Styela clava: one gene and its partner. The protein of the gene in region 2 purifies or fractionates together with the protein of the main gene of each other region. This does not show direct contact. Links are inferred from orthologs where the notes say so. Each region holds a gene or a part of one and is shown on either strand. Other genes may lie near its edges.

Region 1 (3,318 bases), on a different chromosome or scaffold from region 2:
TTCAAAATATTTGTTGAACAAAAGATGGAAGTTTTATTTCTCATTTTCACTCGTAGCTAGACTTGTGACCCAGGGGTGGTAACACTGGCTATATATAATATTGATAAAATGAGTTCAGGGATATGAGAGCAAACAATGATTATTGGCGATACATATAAGTTCGATAACACCATTGTATTAGTTTGGTGGATCACGGCAGCAATCTACAATATGTTACTTTCTTAAGAAGCATGAACCTGATTTTTGACGCAACAAAGCCTGAATAGCATCTAGAAAGAGTAAAACAACTTCTGAATATGGAGGCAGATATCTGCAGCCGAAGTAATCCATTCTCCCAAAACTAGCTTTACAGCACAATTTATTATCAGTTACCTGATAAGCAGCATCGTTAATTGATTACTTTAACTTATAGTTGGTGGGAAAAAATGTTAATTGGGTAATTTGGCTTGAAAATTAATTATTACCCTTATAGTATGATTCAGTCTTATTTTTTCGAATTCAGCGATTCGTTCTGACTGCAATACTATCATCTATAATGCCAGACTTTTTCCCATAATCAATAACACCACTATATACACAATCAATAAGAGAAAAATTTATTGACATAATGTTAAAAATGGCAGTTTCACATTTGAACTGAAAAAATTTGATATTTACCTAAAAAGGTACTTTCCATATATCCAAGCAGAACGGAAAACCATTAGTTCAATTTATTATTTGTGCCTATGCATGATTTTGTTCAAGACTCAATAACCGTGATATCAATGAATAACTCTTATTATGATTTAGAAATAGAAGTCGCATTACCCATATATTCAGCATATCAAAAAAAATCTAGAAGCATGTTCCACCATTATCCAAATATGCTTAAAACAGACAACTAATAACAAAAGTTTCCCCAAATAATTGGCTGATATGACTTTTGCATTTGTACAAATACGTAAATTTGATGAGAAAATGCAGTTCGGTCAATACATTATAGAAAAAAAATATTTCAATGTTCTTGTATGATTGAATTTATGAATGCAAAAATAGGAATAAAGCCTTTTGTTCTGGCAATTCACCATTTCAGTGCAATGATTAAAAAATTTCCACACTGATGGAGAGATCACCTTCTACCCCGAAAACCACCACGACCACCCCTAAATCCCCCACCTCGGCCACCCCTGAAGCCTCCACCACCCCGGCCTCCTCTGAAACCACCACCACCTCGGCCCCCTCGAAATCCTCCGCCACGGCCACCCCCCCTTCCACGTCCACCACCTCTTCCTCTACCACCCTTTTGCACAGACCCGGGAGGTTTTGGTAAAAATCTCTGAAGCGGAAGCAACTTCATTGGATCAATGTAAAACTTTGATTCTTTAGAAAAAGAGTTCGCTTTCATATTATCCGCTAGTTTGACGGAGAAACAAAAGTCGCGAATTGGTCCAAATATTTCATCAACTTTTCCGATTCTTGACTTATTTTCCAAGTAAACTGGTGCATTAAAGTATGGTATTTTTTCATTCGTACATTTGCATACAAGTTCATCTTGACAAGTGTGCATCAATTTACCAAGTTCAACGACACATTCTGGTGGTTCGTCTGAATATCTGTTGAAATTTCCTCCACCTCGACCACCTCCTCGTCCTCCGCCACGAAATCCTCCTCTTCCACGATTGTTGAATCCACCTCCACCACGTCCCCGACCACGAAAAGACATCTTCAGCTCAAAAAGCTATGTGAAAAAATTTAGGTGTACGCTGGATGAAAAGATTGGAAATTTATATATGTTAGAAATAATGTGAAAGATAAGCAAGATAATAATAATTATCTAATCATCATCCAATTTATCAATTACATAGTGACCAATTTGATTCATTCCTCGAAGTTTTATTTACATCAACATGAAGCATAAGCCCGCAATTCCAAATTGAATGATTATCAAACAAGAAAGAATTGCTAGCCATTTGACGGACATTTTATCTAAATTTTAGAACGAATATTAAAAGATGATTTTCATTAATGATTTGAGCGCTCCCGTAGTATGAGCACCAAGATGGCAGACAGCAGAACGTAGTAACTACAGGTTAGGTTTAGGGCATAATTTTATTCCAATTATCCTTATTTTAGTTCTATTACAGTATTACGAGTTTGGGAACTAGCCAAATCACTCCCATAGTATTTGCACCTGAAATTATAGCCTAACCTGGTGCACATACTACGGGGGTACCATGGTTTGTCTTCTCAATCTACTGTCCTCATGTACATACTAGTGTCATGTCTGCGAAAGTGACAGACATGATAGGCCTAGACTATTTTTGTTTTTTAGGTTATTCAGTTATTAGATTGAGCTGTGAGGTCGTCGAAGCAACTCGAAAAGTTGACCAGCCTAGAGCATGCTAATAGTAGTAGTAGTAGTATTTTATTTCGTCAACAATGTCAAAATCAAAATACAACATACAACATTTCAAAATTAATTTCCAAGGCATTGTGACGAGGCTGTGACGAAGCGACCGTTAGGTCATCGAGTCAGTCACAGCCTTTAAAAAAATATAAAATTACCATTTTTTAAACGAAATTGAGCTGAAGTAGCATACACCGAAAATAAATTAACAAAACTAACAGAGAGGAAAACAAAAGAAAAAACAAAACTCAATTGAATATGTTTAAACCATATCCAAATAAAGATATGACATTACTGACAATTTGACTGACTAAAAGCTGTTGACTTATACTCAAATATTATTTTATAGAAATCTTTTTTTTTCACAATGCAAAAAATTTCTTCAGCCGGCAAAACTGTATTAAGTCATCCGTAACAAAACACGTGCGAATTGGAGAGTGGTGACTGGAGTCTGACGTCTCATTGCCAAACGTGATCTCCAACGCGTCAAAATGATCATCTTTCTGCAGTTTGTAATGCAAAAATACATTTTTATGGCGTACGTAAAGATTGTTCTTTATAAGTTTTGCTGAAACAGTTTCTGTCTACCTCGTATAAACTAAAATTCCTCTTGTATATTGAACGTCAATATATACAGTACTAAATACAACGATCGCAGTCCGGATGATGCTTTGTTACTTATCGACAAGTATGTTGATAGGTATGTCTGTTTGTTTGTTTGTCTGTCTGGTAGATACACGCGATATCTCCCAGATAGAGAGGGTTGTTAGCATAGAAGTCATATTGGGGGTGTCAAAATAGGGCTGACTCCCGAATGTCTTGTCATAATAAGAATTTTTCTTTTTTTAGGGGTCGGTCGACGTAGTTGACCTTGCAGTCTTGCCCTCCCCCTCCCGAATATATTGTATAATTGTTCTTTTTCATTTATTGTA
Region 2 (3,937 bases):
TTGATTAGCTTTTATGCCCTCTCATAAAATTGTCTATACCCCTTGTGGGGCGCGCTCCACCTTCTGGGAATCACTGTCATAGAGATAGTTCCTAAACTGAAGTTCTAATAGCACCCTTATATATTGCTTTTTGGCTTGTAAATGCACATTGAAATCTCATTGTACTACAGGCGATTAGTGTCTGTACATACAGTGTTTTCCTGGAAATAAGAAGACAGGGGCGTATTTCAATTTTCCTCCAAAATTAACACTTGGGCTTATTTTTGGTGGTTTTGGTATTTTTCATTTATCAATAAGGGGAGGGCTTATAATAAAATTTCAAAATGTAAATTTTTTAAAATCAGGCTAGGTCTTATTTTCGATAAAACACAGTGATTACACTAAGACTATAGGATCACCTCAAGAGTGGATCAAACTCTAAAAAGCAATTAGCCAAGTAAATATATCAAACACATTTTCCTGGTTGATAGACCAGATATCCTTTTCCACTGGTGTGGATTTCATGTTGTCTCCGCATTATCCAGGATACAAAAAAAATCCTGTTGACACTAAAGACTCCCATTCAAATTAATATCTTTTAAGAGTCCTTGTTCAGGAATTTTAGGTCTATTTCCTTGTTATAATATGTGATTTATTATCGTCACTCAAGTACAAATTGTTTGAAATTTTTAGGGGATGTAACTTGAGCTAGTTTCATTTAGTATTAATGAAATATTTTCCTTCTACTTGTGTGTGTGTAATGCAATCATTTGAACCTTGCTATAATTTATTTTTTTAATGCAGTTGTATCTAATGCCTAATAGTCATTTTTAATGAGTTGGAAAATTTTTTGTACTTTTTCTATAATTATATGTTGGATTGCATGGAGAAATATTCTATAAAAATGCCATTGCATGTTGCATGGACTGTTTGACATTTATACTATCCTTTAATAAAGCTGATGTTATGCTTTGCTGGTGTACCCTGTGCTAATTGCTTGTATTCTACTAAATGCATTTGTGATCTTGGTCAAGTCCATGCATCTGGAAGAAAATCTAGTTAATTATTTTCATACCCGGCCTGAAATGATAACTAGATGAGCGAGTTTGCTTTGCCATATGATTAAGCCCTTTTTCACTTTCCACCCGCCCCCAGTATAAAATGTTATAAAAACCTCTCCTAGTAGCAAAAAACTTTGATGAGAATCGTGGTATAATGTATTTTGAATAAAATCTATTATTTGAATCATAGTTTATGCCAGATACAAAATGTTGCCTCGAGTTGTCACGCCTGATACAGGAATTCAACATACGGAACAAAATTGCAGAATCAACATAAACTCTGATGACAGAGGAAGTGGAACGTTGTATATTTCAGAAGAAAGATTGATCTGGGAGAATCAGGAGCATCGTGGACTGTCACTCGGTTATAAAGATATCGCAATACATGCCGTCTCTAAAGATTTACAGGTATTCAGTTGTACGCTTGGTATTCAATGAACTGTGGTTGCCATGGTTACCCCGCCTGCCTGTCTAGAGTTGTTTTCTTCCATTAACAAGAGTGACACTGGGGTAATGGGTCACCTAAATGTATCTTCAGAGTCTGAATTCCTTATAGGTGACGGTGCTTGATAACCATCACTGGTTATTGTGCTCCCTGCATACTGAAATTCATTTTTTTATCTGTCATAGTTATAATGTACAATGTGTACTTTCGACATGTGATAAAATAAACTACTGACTGACTGTATAATAGCTGTCATATCTTTAGAATATTTTATACCTTGGCTGTGAGAAAGTCCACAGACAACTAGTTGATCAGATATAAGGTTTGGCACGGTTTATGACAACCAAGACTGCGGCGTCTGAGAAATCCACAATTGCCAGTGACTAGTCGATTCTAGATTAAATGCGACTCTGGGTTAATAAAAATTTAGACCTTAGGCTTCAGCTACGAACTCTGTGAAACAGGACTACTAATCAATACAATTTGCGGAATTCGTCTTTCAGGTGTAATGTAATCATGTTATAATTTGGCTTTGTACATTTCTGCCATCATACTACTGGGTGTTAAAAAAGTAACGCAAAATAAACAGAAGTTTGGATGAAATGCTACTTGGTACGTTTAACGACTGATATCTTTCAAAAGTATTGAATTATGGTGAAATGCCATTTAAACATTTCACGTCTGATGCTTTTTAACAGTTACTTTTTTAACGCTGCCATGCCGAAAAATCTTTTTTAACACCCTGTATTTTCCATACCTTGAAGGTTATGGTTTTAGATATAATTTATTCAGTGTATAATCTTGTGATTTTCCAGGCATTTCCTGAAGAATGTCTTTACGTAATGTTCAATGGTGAGATTTGTGAACCGGTTGTCAATGGCAACGGACAGACAGAAGAGTACGATTGTGCAGATAACGAGTTTGCTGCTGACACAAGTGGTACAATATCAGAGATCAGATTTATACCAGTATGTAAAGACAATTTAAAACGAATGTTCGATGCAATGAGCGACTGCCAATGTCTCCATCCGGACAGTGAGGATAGCGATGACTATTATGGAGGAGATGGTGACAGTGAGGAGCAAAACTATGAAGGGGCTATGTACCCCCCTACTGTTTACAATGGCGGTGCGGGGGAAGGATTTTATACTTCTGAAGAAGGCTTACAACATTTAACGCCTGCAGGGCAAGCAACATTAGCAAGACTAGAGAATATGTTAGCAGATTCACAAATTTCTGAACCTGAGGGGATTTCCCAAATGGAAGGGGTTCAGATTGAGGAGGAGGGCCCCATGAACACTGATGAGCCTCCTGTGGTAGGAAGGCCCCCTGTTGTCGATGACAACCCGCAGCAAGGTGCCCCTATTCTTCCTTCAGTGGAAGGACAATTTGATGATGCCGAAGACACTCATTGATCTGCTCAATGCCAGGTTTCTGATGTCTGTCGTGGTTGCGGAGCAGGAAAAGTTTACAATCAACGCTGCGGGTTGAAAAAATAACAATTTTCTCTAAGATTGTAAATAATTTTGACTCCAGTTTCTAACTTGGAGAAAAATTAATATTAATTGGTATTATGCAAGTCTCCTCCAATAGATACTCAATAGACCTAATACTCTTGGATTTTAATGGAAAAATTTGACTTATCATCGTCATTGAGTGGGTAAAATTACAGGGAAAACATCCCAAGCTCTGACCTCCTACTCTGCAGCTTAGGTTATTACCACCAAGACTGAGTTGAGAACAATTGCATATCTTATTTGTTACTTGGTTCAATTAAGACAGGGGTTTTATTAATTAAACCTTTGTTCTCTCATTTACTTTTTTCACAAATTTCGAAGTTAAAATTTACCTCTTCACGACTCCACTCTTTATGGATGTTCATGGAGTCCCTTTACAATTTTAATTTTGGTATGAAGTCAGTTCTTAACCAGGTTTGTTGTTTTTTTTTATCAGTCAATTTTCAAGTATTTTTACTTCATTTAATAATACATGGGCCGGAACAATATGTGGTATTGATAAATTCCCTTCCAACTTCGAAAGTCTTTAAAACTTGATGGACACCCCATACTTCTACACATATCTATAAGGACTCAATTTTAAAGTAAATAGTGCACATAGGCTTTTTGAATTGAATGTGTTCACATTACTATATTTCAATCGTATATCAATTTAACCCTCCTGTATTAATAAAGGTTGCAAACACCTAGTTTAACACTCTGATTCAAATATATCAATCAAAATCTAAAATATCAAACAACTCAGCAATCTTTGTGATTGAAACAACACCTGATGTTTTTAATTGCTTAATCGTGATCCGCATGTTTATCACGTCTCCCTTCACACTGAAATGCATTTTTGTTCTTAATTATGTTTGTACAATGTGTACTTTCGGCATGTAATAAAATGAACAAGACTGATATATTCCTTTCCCATCTCATTTACCTTTATTATA

Evidence for each region.
Region 1: the proteins of methylosome subunit pICln-like (region 2) and H/ACA ribonucleoprotein complex subunit 1-like purify together in Homo sapiens (affinity purification with mass spectrometry; 3 studies listed by BioGRID and IntAct, counting the BioPlex papers as one, with this or other methods). This does not show direct contact. The link is inferred for Styela clava from reciprocal best matches to the Homo sapiens genes CLNS1A and GAR1.

What each region holds. Positions count from the first base shown.
Region 1 is NC_135253.1:15,137,260-15,140,577, forward strand, and holds H/ACA ribonucleoprotein complex subunit 1-like, read right to left. Parts: upstream 1,757-3,318; 5' UTR 1,703-1,756; coding exon 1,109-1,702; 3' UTR 574-1,108; downstream 1-573. UniProt on the Homo sapiens protein: Required for ribosome biogenesis and telomere maintenance. Part of the H/ACA small nucleolar ribonucleoprotein (H/ACA snoRNP) complex, which catalyzes pseudouridylation of rRNA.
Region 2 is NC_135259.1:18,960,206-18,964,142, reverse strand, and holds the start of methylosome subunit pICln-like, read left to right. Parts: upstream 1-1,247; coding exon 1,248-1,448; intron 1,449-2,300; coding exon 2,301-2,900; 3' UTR 2,901-3,937. UniProt on the Homo sapiens protein: Involved in both the assembly of spliceosomal snRNPs and the methylation of Sm proteins.